3 linked regions of the Sus scrofa genome follow. The protein of the gene in region 1 interacts with the protein of each later gene in a biochemical or structural test. Links are inferred from orthologs where the notes say so. Each region holds a gene or a part of one and is shown on either strand. Other genes may lie near its edges.

Evidence for each region.
Region 2: the proteins of FZD7 (region 1) and DVL1 form a complex in vitro, tested with the Homo sapiens proteins (2 studies listed by BioGRID and IntAct, with this or other methods). The link is inferred for Sus scrofa from reciprocal best matches to the Homo sapiens genes FZD7 and DVL1.
Region 3: the proteins of FZD7 (region 1) and SDCBP interact in a biophysical measurement, tested with the Homo sapiens proteins (2 studies listed by IntAct, with this or other methods). The link is inferred for Sus scrofa from reciprocal best matches to the Homo sapiens genes FZD7 and SDCBP.

The regions. Positions count from the first base shown.
Region 1 is NC_010457.5:105,642,660-105,647,009, reverse strand, and holds the start of FZD7 (frizzled-7), read right to left. Parts: upstream 2,847-4,350; 5' UTR 2,000-2,846; coding exon 275-1,999; 3' UTR 1-274. UniProt on the Homo sapiens protein: Receptor for Wnt proteins.
Region 2 is NC_010448.4:63,618,956-63,622,596, forward strand, and holds part of DVL1 (segment polarity protein dishevelled homolog DVL-1), read right to left. Parts: intron 3,603-3,641; coding exon 3,509-3,602; intron 3,427-3,508; coding exon 3,357-3,426; intron 3,275-3,356; coding exon 3,135-3,274; intron 3,057-3,134; coding exon 2,980-3,056; intron 2,908-2,979; coding exon 2,840-2,907; intron 2,684-2,839; coding exon 2,531-2,683; intron 1,952-2,530; coding exon 1,820-1,951; intron 1,734-1,819; coding exon 1,287-1,733; intron 87-1,286; coding exon 1-86. UniProt on the Homo sapiens protein: Participates in Wnt signaling by binding to the cytoplasmic C-terminus of frizzled family members and transducing the Wnt signal to down-stream effectors. Plays a role both in canonical and non-canonical Wnt signaling.
Region 3 is NC_010446.5:74,300,957-74,304,597, forward strand, and holds part of SDCBP (syntenin-1 CG9291-PB), read right to left. Parts: intron 1,570-3,641; coding exon of another isoform or gene 1,567-1,569; coding exon 1,408-1,566; intron 1-1,407. UniProt on the Homo sapiens protein: Multifunctional adapter protein involved in diverse array of functions including trafficking of transmembrane proteins, neuro and immunomodulation, exosome biogenesis, and tumorigenesis.

The sequences.
Region 1 (4,350 bases):
AGCGTTGTTATCATCATCACCATCATCATCATCACCCTGGAGTCTCGGCCACAAGTCTTTTCATCCAAACCGCCTTTCCACTCAGGCCTCCTTTCCAAACCCACGCCTCGTCCCAAATCTACACGTTATCGTCTCTCTTCCAGGTCACTTCTCACTGGAGGGGAGGGAGGTTACAGAAACAAGCCCCCCACCCGGCAATTCTGTCCCTACCGCGCCTTTCCCCCTGCGAGGGGGGTGGGGGTGGGAGAAGGAAGGGTGGGGGAGGGGCTGGGGCTCATACCGCCGTCTCCCCCTTGCTGCTGTGGCTGAGTCTGTGGTAGAAGCGGCGCCACGACTGCAGGGTCTTGCCGGACCAGATCCAGAAGCCCGTGGTGATGCCTACGATCATGGTCATCAGGTATTTGATCATGAAGACGGTGAAGTCAGGGCTCATGGGCGGGAAGTGGCCGGGCGGGCAGGGAACCGCGTAGCTCTTGCACGTCTGCAGGAGCCAGGTGCGCTCCCAGTGTTCGCGGAAGGCCTGCTCGTAGAAGTAACAGGCCAGGACGATGGTGGCGGGCACGGTGTAGAGCACGCTGAAGACGCCAATGCGCACCATGAGCTTCTCCAGCTTCTCCGTTTTGGTGCCGTCGTGCTTCATGATGGTGCGGATGCGGAAAAGCGACACGAAGCCGGCCAGCAGGAAGGACGTGCCGATGAAGAGGTAGACGAACAGGGGCGCCAGCACGAAGCCCCGCAGCGCGTCCACGCTGGACAGGCCCACGTAGCAAACCCCGCTGAGCAGGTCCCCGTCCACCTGGCCCATGGCCAGGATGGTGATGGTCTTGACAGCGGGCACCGCCCACGCAGCCAGGTGGAAGTACTGAGAGTTGGCCTCGATGGCCTCGTGGCCCCACTTCATGCCAGCGGCCAGGAACCAAGTGAGCGACAAGATGACCCACCAGATGGAACTGGCCATGCCGAAGAAGTAGAGCACCATGAAGAGGATGGTGCAGCCCTCCTTCTTGGTGCCCTGCGCCACCGTGCGGTAGCCGTCTTCTGAGAAGCGCTCCACGCACACGGCGCGGTCCTCCAGCAGGAAGCCGGCCACGTGCGCCACGGCCACCATGAAGTAGCAGCCCGACAGGAAGATGATGGGCCGCTCCGGGTAGCTGAAGCGCCGCATGTCCACTAGGTAGGTGAGCACCGTGAAGAGCGTCGAGGCGCAGCACAGCACTGACCACACGCCCACCCAGAGGCGGGCGAAGCGCCTCTCCTCCTCCTTAAAGTACATGAGGCCGTTGGCGCGGCCCGGCTCGCAGGGGGCGCCGCAGTCGCGCTCGCCCAGGAAGCGGTAGCCCAGGTAGGGGGGCACCTTGAGCTGGCGGGGGCACGAGAAGGGGAAGGCCGAGCGGCCCCTGCCGTCAGCGGCTCCCGGGGGCAGCGCGGTGAAGGGCAGGTCGGGCATGTAGGGCGCTGTAGGATAGGCGGTGGGCCCGCCGCCTGGGCCCCCGGAGCCGTCGGACGTGTTCTGGCCCACGCAGATCTCGCCGGCGCCGTGCACAGGGAAGTTCTCGCAACGCAGCCGCTCGGGCCATTGGAAGCCGAACTTGTTCATGAGCGCCTCACACCCCTGGCGGGCACGCTCGCACAGAGAACGGCACGGCGGGATGGCCTTATCGAGCACGGTGCACACGGGTGCGTACATGGAGCACAGGAAGAAGCGCAGCTCGGGAGAACACTGCACCTTCACCAGCGGGTAGAACTGGTGCACCTCGAGGCCCGCATCTTCTTGGTTCGTGTGACCCAGCAGGTTGGGCAGGATGGTCTGGTTGTAGGCGATGTCCGTGCACAGAGGGATGGAAATAGGCTGGCAGAAGCCGTGGTCCGGCACTGAGATGCCCTTCTCGCCGTGGTACGGCTGCGCCCCGGCGCCCGCGGGCAGTGCGCCCAGCACTGCAAGCACCATGGTGCACAGGCCCAGAGGCGAGGGCGACGCTGCCGTGCGGGGGCCCCGCATCGCCGGCCGCGGGTGCAGCGGCGCTCTCAGCCCAAGAAACGCGACAAGACAGCCAGGAGAGGCTGGGATCCCGGCAGGCGCCGCCGCGCCGGGCGCATGAGAGTCCTCCCGGCGCCGGGGCCGGGCCGTGGGCGGTGCGGAGCCGAGGGCGCTGTAGCTAGGGTGCTCGCGCCGCAAGGGCGCCGTCGCCGCCGCCGCCTCCGCCCAGCACTCGCGCAGCCGCCGGGGGCCCAAACACGTCTGCCTGGGCCGGGGGCGCCGATGGGGGGGAGACGCCTTTTCCTCGCGCCGGGACGTAACGGTGCGGCTCTTTCTGCGGCGAAGAGCAACAAGCGTCTCCGGTTACCCTTCAAAGTTTGCCCAAGTCTCTTGACTCACAGCGCACAGTAACGCGCGCGCCCCCCGCTTGCGTCTGGGCCCCCGGCGAGCGAGAGCCCGGCGCCGCGGCTTGCTAGCCAAGGCCGCCGCCTCTGCGGTGCTGCTCCGCCTCCTTGCCTCGAGGCTCAGTTCGCCGCCACCTCCTTCTCCGCCGCCTTCTTCTCCACTCCCTGCTCCTTTTTCAGCCCCAAAAGCTTGTCCCCAAGTTTCAGCCAAACGGTTGATTCTCGTTCTGAGTCCTATCGGCGTCTTGGAGCCAAGAGCTCTGCGAGTTCTTTGAAGAAATCCAGTCACACTGCGTCCAAAGCTATGAGGCCCCCGTGCTCGCGGCCTGGGCCTGGCCTCTCCAGTCCCGCGCAGCCCCGGCCGGTGAGTCGCGGCGCCCGCCGCCGCCGCCGCCCGCCGGGAGGGAGCGCAGAGTAACGTCTCGGAGCCCAGCAACTCCGCAGAAGAAGCGTCGCGCTCGCAGGATTCCGGGCCGCCCCGCCCTCTCCCCTCCCCCCATTCACAAACCACTCCGGGGGCGGGCCCTGGAGCTCCAAGACCGCCCAATGGCAGCCTTTGTTTTCTGTGTGGTCGCCTCCGGATTGGGTGGAAGTCGGAAGGGGCGGGCGAGGGAACCCGAGAGGCACAGTCTGCAGCGCTCTGGGCGGATTCCTGAGGGGAGGGGCGGGGGCTGGGAGGGAAAAGTTAAGAAAAACTTTTACCGTGAATTCGCTGGGGGGAGCGGAGGGGGGAACGCACCAGAAAGGGAATTTGCTTGAAAGATTTGTTCCTCTTCCGGGTACTCTAAAATACACATTCCTGAATAGAAGGGCGCACGGGGGAAGTTTACGGGGAGAAGCTGAGAATAGAGCAGCGCCACGGCAGATAGGGACGTGACTCGGAGTCACGTTAGCCCTCCCCGAGCTGAAAATGCTGGGCTTGGCGGGGGACTTTTGGGTAGCGGGGTCCTAAATGAAGGGTTCACTATGGGGCCAGAAAAGGGTGCGCATCGCGGATTGCTTTTCTCTCCCCCGACTCTAACAGACCACGTGAGGCCACAATCCCCTCTCATCCCCGCTCCCAGTTGTAAAAAGGAGGAGGGGCCGCGACCGCGAAGAAATTGGAGTCGGGCGAAGGGGCCGACGTAAGGCGGGAGGAAGTGCAGACCCCTTGGAGGGGAGAGGGTTGGGGAGCCGCGGGCGCTGGGGACCCCGACCCCAAGTCACCCTGCCCGCGAGCACGGCCCAGGGTCTAGCGATCTGGTATAGCTTTAATGGAGCCATAAGAAAACAGTGTTGGGGGAAATGGCTATTAAAAACAAAAAACCTGCGACCCGAGTGCCCAGGAACACTGTACGGTTTAGAGAGAGTATTTATCCTCTTTTTCTTAGTTCTGCGGCGTGTTGGGATCCCATCTTTGTCGCAGAAGCAATGATTTGATCCTTGGAATATGCGTTGAAAAGTTTAAATGGGTATTAGAAACCAAGGGCATTTGCTAATTAGTTTTCAAAACACAAAGAGAAGTTATCCTGTTTTCGGGTAGCGTTTTCCGATTGGCAAGCGTTCTTTTGTTCCCGGTCAAATCTTCGCCCTGCTGAAGGCAATGGGCGCTCGCGCGCGCGCCCTGCTTACTCCCGACGAGATCAGAAGTTAGGAGGGAGGGGGGCCGCTCTCCCTTCTCGCTGGACAGCGAGGAATATCCTGAATTCCCATGCAGGAAAATGACAATGTTGAGAAAGGAAAAATCTGCTTCTCCCTCTCTGTCTCCCTCTCTCTCTCACACACTCACGCACAAAGCAATCTTACGCCTTAGAAAACGTTACTCCTGGCGGAGCCCTTTCCTTCTGTCAGCTCAGTTCCAGGCGCTGGAGCCCTGAGGGATTTCTGATTGGGATGCATGTTTGCAAAAGTTGCTGCTTTTGCTGCTTCTGCTGCCCACGGTGAGCCTCTTCTCCAGCAAGAAAAAACAAAAACAAACAAACAAACAAA
Region 2 (3,641 bases), on another chromosome or scaffold:
TCCAGCCGACCGGCTCTCCTTCTCTCGACCCAGGGCCCGACGGCTGCTCCCGCCAGCACTTCGGGTGGACCCACTGCTTTTGCTTCCTGGGGTCAAGAAGTAGGGAGAGGAATGGGCCAGTCAGTGTCAGGCCTGGCTTCTCCTGGGACAGGTGGCCGTTGCCGGGGCAACCAGGAGCAGAACCCGGTGGTCCTGAGCCTGGGGCGGGGGTGGTGGGCAGCCATGCAGACACGAGGGCTGGGCTGGCCTCGCCCGGGGAAGCAGTGGAAGCAGACGGGGGACAGCGGAGGGGGGCAGACAAGCAGGGACATGCCGAGGCCAGCTTGTGCCTGACTCCTCACCCCAGCGCCTGAACCAAGGGCCTGGTCTTGCTGCTGAGAAAGCGAGGCCCAGAGAAGACCCTGTGCGCCCGCACACCGGCCGGCCGTTCTGGACGCCCCGCCCCAAAGACCCTCCTCTGATCTGACCCCAGAACCCCGGCCAGCTGCTCAGCTCAGCCCCTCCTGGGCTCTCAGGAAGTGCCGGAAACCTGAAGACGCCCCCTGGCTGGGGACGTGCCGACAGGGGCGCGGGGCAGGACCCTGGCTTACCGGCCCTGAGGGTCCGTTCCGCTAGTCCTTCAGTCTAAGGCTTGCTCAGCACAAAGCAAGGGACAGAGGAGTTACACACCGGCCCGGCCCGGGCACCCACCCCGCCGCCCAGGGCATGCCCCCTGCCAGCTGGACCTGTCCAGGGCCCACAGGCACCTGACACAGCTTCTCCCTGGACTCTGTTGCCCTCTGAGCAGCTGCTCTCCGCACCCCCTCCGGTGTGCTGGGTGCAGGGGCATGTGCCGGCTAACCTCCCTGACCCTCAGCCTTGGGACACTATTCCCATGAAGCTTCTCCTTGGGGACCCCGAGCCCCCACCTCTGCCCCACTTCCCCACGCATCTCCGCCACAGGCCGCGTGTGTCTGCGAAACTGCCCCTTGCTGGTTCCAGGCCACCACAGGGGGCCGGGGGAGGTGTCTGTCCTCCACTACGTCCCAGGGCCCCGCATGTCCCCCCACACCCCCAGCCCCCATTCCCACACCACCTCCTGCCTCGGCCTCTGCCACGTCTGGAACACCAGCGCCCCCCCCCAACCCCTGAAGCTTCTAACCACTCACCCCTTCCAGAAGAAGCCACCCAGGGCCCGAGCACAGAGCAGGTGGGAGCGCACAGGGCGGGGGGCGGGGAGGGGGTGGGCAACAGGGCAGAGCCAGGTGGGCAGGCAGGGAGCTGGACGCTGGCCGGCGGGCCCTCACCTTCACTCTGCTGGCTCCCAGCGCTGCCGCTGCCGTAGCTGAAGCCAGGGTCCTGGTACGCGGGTGGGAAGCAGGGCGGGGGCCCCGGGTACTGGTAGGGGTAGCCCTGGCCCAGGGGCCAGGGGGCAGCCGGGTGGGGCAACGGGGCCAGCGTGTCCTGATCGGAGGCTCCACTGGAGCCGCTGTTGAGGTTCAGGGCTGCGAGATCTGCAGGAGGGGGGGCAGGTAAGGGGAGGCGGGCGGGTCCTCCGGGGCCCTCTGCCCGTGGCCCCCACTCACTGCTGCACAGGTCCCCGAAGACGTAGTAGCACTGCTCGGAGAAGGTGACCTTGTTGACCGTGTGCCGCAGGAAGCCGCGCTTCAGCATGCTGCTGGCGTACCTGCGCGCCTCCCGCCGCTCGCGGAAGCCCTCCAGGTGCGTGTACAGCCAGTCCACCACGTCCGCCCCTGGCGCAGCCGGCGTCAGGCGTCAGGTGGGGAGCCTGGGCCGCGCCCCACCGCCCCCAAGCCCCCCGCTGCCCAGGGCCCCGCACCGATGACGGCATTGGCGATGGTGATCTTGAGCCACATGCGGTCGCGGATCTCCAGGCCCGAGTCCGGCAGCTGCATGACCCGGACGACAGCACCCATGTCACTCTTCACCGTCAGGGGCGCCTCCTCCAGCTCTGCAAGGCACACCCCGCGCTCAGCCACGGCCGGGAGCACAGCCGCGAGCACGGCCGCAAGGACCCTCCACCACCCACCCGACCGCCCGCACAGGGTCAGGGAGCGGCCTGGGGCGGGGAGGGTGGGGCCTCATCTCCAACAGGGAGATGCTTCACCAGGTCTTGTGGCCAACCAGGCGAGGCCACCCCCGCCCTGCAGACCGGACCCCACGGGGCGGAGACCAGACCCCCTCCACCCCCTTCCCCGCAAGCTGGGCCTATTAGTCATGTTAGTGGCAGAAAAGCAGCGTGAGGGCCACACGGATGCCGCCTGCCCCTGCCAGATAGCAGACCCTTGGGCAGGCCCGGCCCGGCCCCCCAGGCCCTTCCCTCCCACTACAGACAGAGGGCTGGGAAGAGGGTGCGAGCGTGGGCGCCCATGTGTCCGTGACCCCAGGGTACAGTGTCCGCCCTCGTGGGCCTGGCACCAGCACCAACGCTCAAGCCGGGATGGCCCTCGGGGGTGGCCGTGCCAGGCAGGCGCCTCGGCTGGGCCCTCACGGGTGCCTCCGTTTTCTGATCTCAGGAGCCGCCACTTACGCGGAGCGCCGGGCACAGAGCTGGTTAGTGAGGAGGAGCTGGTGCGCGTGACGGCGCTGGAGCAGGGGCTCGTACCGTAGCGGGGCAGGGCTCCGGTCAGCGCCGCCGTGTGGGACAGCCAGGCGGCCGGGTCGATGGGCCGAACCGGGTCAGCTGGGCAGCCACCGTGTGGCGACAGACGAATGGACAGTGGGGAAGAAGGCAGAGCACAGGGGCACAGGAGCACAGGGAGAGAGGCCCTTCAGGCTGGGCTGGGCGCCCCCGCCCCCGCCCCCGCCCTGCCCCGCCAGCCCCGGGGGGGTCACTCACCCCTCGGGATGGTGAAGTAGCTCCGAGGGCTTGGGTCCCAGCACTTGGCCACCGTGAGGCTGATGGGCCTGCGGGGTGGGCGGGTCACACCGGCGAGGCCCCAAGCAGCACCCCCTCCCCCCGCCACGCGCGCGCCTCACCCCGTCTGGGACACAATCTCCCGCAGCACCCGCACGGCGTCGTCGTTGCTCATGTTCTCGAAGTTGACGTCATTCACCTGGGGCGGGGGGTCAGCACAGTGGTGGGGGGTGCAGACCTCGCCCGCCCCTCCCCGCGGCCCCTGGCAGCCCCACACCTGCAGCAGCATGTCGCCCGGCTCGATGCGGCCGTCGGCGGCCACAGCCCCGCCCTTCATGATGGAGCCGATGTAGATGCCGCCATCGCCCCGGTCGTTGCTCTGGCCCACGATGCTGATGCCCAGGAAATGGTGCCTCTCTGCGGGGCCGGGTGTGTGAACAAGCGCCCCCCGCCCCCGAGCCCCGGGCCCCTCTGGCGGCGGCGGCGGCAGAGGCCTCACCCATGTTGAGCGTGACGGTGATGATGTTCAGCGACATGGTGGAGTCCGTGATGCTGCTGAAGGAGGAGGCCTGCGGGGGCGGCCCTGGGTGAGGGGCTGCGGGCGGCGCGGCGGCCCCAGGGGACAGAGCGGCCCGCACCCCCTCCACCTACGCGGTCCGTCTGGCGCATGCGCTGCTTCCGCCGGCGCCGCTTGTGCTTCCGGATGAGCCGGGACGAGGTGCTCTGCTCGGTGGAGCTGCTCAGCCTGCGGGGGCACAGGGTCAGGGCGCCGGCAGCCTCTCCG
Region 3 (3,641 bases), on another chromosome or scaffold:
AAAAGATGAGCATGGAGCTCCTGTCATGGCTCAGCGGAAACGAATGTGACTAGACATACAGGAGGACACAGGTTTGATCCCTGGCCTCCCTCATGGGCTAAGGATCCAGCATTGCTGTGAGCGGTGGTGTGGGCCATAGACGAGGCTCGGATCCCAAAGCAGCTGTGGCGCAGACCAGGAGCTATAGCTCTGATTGGACCCCTAGCCTGGGAAATTCCATGTGTTGTGGGTGTGGCCCTAAAAAGACCAAAAAAAAAAAAAAAAAAACCATCTTCAATACCACTCCAGTTTAAGAACTGAACCCACATGGATAGTTTTACTTTGAGACTTATGTCTGTCAGTCTTATCACAGATGTTGAACACAATACAAATACATATAAAAGAGTAAGCCTGATGAACACAACAAAGTATCTCCAAGGCTAGCCAGCTCCATTCTCCCATTTCAAGCTGGGCTGGATGTGATCTCATGTGCCTTATTTCTGGAATGAACCTGAAAACGAGGCAGCTTCCTGCAAAAGTCAGGTCAAGGAGCTTCAGCCAAGCGGACACACGCAGTGCAAGGCTAACTGCTGTGGCGGATGGGCCGTGGAGAGCGTGGGTTCTTTCTCTGCTGGGGAGCAGGGGGCACAGCATAAACTATTCATAGAAGAGGAGGGCAGGGCAGTGAAGTCCAAGCTGCTCAGAGCCGACGTGTCTTGCCCAAACCACAAGTGTGCAAAAGACACGAGACCCTCACACCTCAGGGAGGCAGGCCGGCGGGCTGGGGCTTCCTGCCAAGACCAGCTACCTGCATCTTCGGCCAAGTGCCACAAAGACTGGGCACACACAGCAACAAGACCGAGCACTGAAAAGGAATCAAGTACTGCAGAAAACCACAGACACAGTACAGACCCAGCAGGTCCTCCACCATCCTAGATGCTTCCTCCGAGGGGCCAGTGTTAAGTTCTTCAGTCTGGTAGGGTAAGAGGTCCACTCACTGCTGCCCAGAAAATGCCATATTCAACTCAAATGTCCGAAAGCCAAGCCTGTACCGCCACATCTTGGCTTAGATGACCCTCATTTAGTTTATTTAGCTTATTACATATGAGACCACTGATTCTCACTGGTCAGTCTTCTCTCAACTTCCACGAGTGTTGCCTTAGCCAGAATTCTAACTGTATAAACTGTTATAATACCTGCAGACTTAGAACTTTATTCTAGGAAGACAACTTCAAAAAAGAAAAATCCACTGAAAATAATATTGGAAGTCACAACTTTGCCTCTTCAGAATAGGGCATCTTGAGATTTAAAATACTGTCAATTATAGATACCATTATAGTTAAAACATTTACATTTTAAATTAACATTGTTCCCTTAATATCCTCTAAGCTATTTAGACAAATTTAGGTAAATATTAAAAATACTTACATTATCTACTGATTTAAGCCTGAGCCCAATTTTTCCATCTTGATCCTTACATAAAATGACTTCACGAATCCCTTGCTTAATTTCTGCTCTACGGATTCCAGCGTCATTACCAGTTACAGGAGCCACCATATAGTTCATGCTGGAAGGTCTTGCAACCAACTGCTGACAAAAACACAAATATATACAATATATACAAACAGTCTCCCTAAAAAAATCTAAAAAATATATTCAGTTGTGGTTTCACAAAATGTAATCTGCAAATTACTTCCTTCAGATAGTCTGATTTTTGCAAAAATGATCCTTTAAAAGTTTTGCCTCATGATGTTTAATGTGGACTTTGGCTTGTCTTCAACTCAAATGTATTATCCTTGAACTTTTATAAAGGCCATATCACACTGCTGAAATTCGCACAGCATCTTCCAGAGGGTTCTGTCATATGACCTCATCTTCAACAATCTACTTACCCTTTCAGAGTTTCTATAAAAAGGGTAACTTTAAATCCACTGTGAAGACTGAAAGAAAAGTGTACATCAGATGAGTGCTGACCCACACAAGACAAACATTTCTCACCTATGGATTAACCATCTCTGGACAAACCAGACTGCCCTAGAATAGCTGCCCCAGGGCTCAGTAAGGTACTGTTTCAAGATCCTCATATTTTTCAAGTTTTCTTGAAGCACTGACCTACCTAATAACTGTGGTGCTCAGAGTAGCAATAATAGGGAAAACTACACATACATATACTGCAGACTGCAAATTGATTTGTTCAGAATTCATGGTAATTCCAACAGCACATTCTAAAGTTGATAACGCACAGCAACGCTACAAATTACAATACCAGAAAATATTGTTTTTAAGGAATTACAAAGATTCAATGATTATAGGGGACTATAAATCAAGTAATGAGATAGAAAAAGAAAAACATAAGAAAATGAATTTAGCTTAGCTGGAATATAGGACAAAAAGGAAGAGCTTTGGAGTGGGTTTTCCTTTTGGAAAAGTAATTTTTTTTTTTTTTTTTTTTTTTTGCTATTTCTTGGGCCGCCCCTGCGGCATATGGAGATTCCCAGGCTAGGGGTCTAATCGGAGCCATAGCCACCAGCCTACGCCAGAGCCACAGCAACGCGGGATCCGAGCCACGTCTGCAACCTACACCACAGCTCACGGCAATGCCGGATCCTTAACCCACTGAGCAAGGGCAGGGACCGAACCCACAACCTCATGGTTCCTAGTCGGATTCGTTAACCACTGCGCCACAACAGGAACTCCTGGAAAAGTAATTTTTATTTCTTCTAGCAAGTATTCTCAAGAACTTACTACATGTTCTTCCACTGCGAGCATATGAGCAGCATCCTATGACCTTTGCCCCCTTGCCCATTCTGACAAATGACATGTGACAAGGGCTACTCTCACAACCTTCCAGATCAGCTCTGCTTCAGCTCCTGCCCTTCCACTAACCATTCTCCACACAGCAGCACAGAGATCAGATGATACCCCTGATTATCTTCCACAATGCAGACCCCAGTCCCTCACCACCACTAACCCTCCAGGGCCATCTGCCTCCACATTCTGCCTTGTCTGCCATCACCAAGGCCTTATCTTGGGTCTACAAGTTCTCTTCTGTACTTGGAGTTCTCTGTATGTACTGACGTGTGGCCAGCAAAGCATAAAACACTTAACATGGGTCTCTTAATAGACAATGTTGAACCTCAATTTTGTGAGGAATTGCATCTTTTAAGGGGAAACTACTCCATAAAGAAAAGTGTGGTTATACTGAGTGGTCGAAGGAGCAGGCAGCGCCAGGTATGAACCTCCTACCCATCACCTGCAAACCCACCAGTCCAGACTCCACTTGGACTGTGCAAAAGACACTGTCCTCTGTGGTTCCTGGCCAGCACCCTGAGAGGCACCAGAGGGAGACAGGGTGGCTGGGGGAGGGGCAGGCGCCTGGCTCCTTCCTGTCTGCTCTGGCTTTGGTCCGCACTGCCTGGAGCTAGCCCTTCGCCCTGCCGGCAGCAGTGGATTCCATTCTCCAGACTTTACCACACCCCCAAATCAGACCTCCAAACCCCTCCGAGGTGACAGTACCCACAGCAGTGTCCCCTCCTCTGAGGCCCGGCTCACACCCTGAAACTCTAACCTCTGACCTGTCGTCAGAGAAACAGCTACTTTCTGCAGAGACATCTGTGTTCCATTTTTGTTTTAAATATTTACTATGATTTCTATTGTCCCAA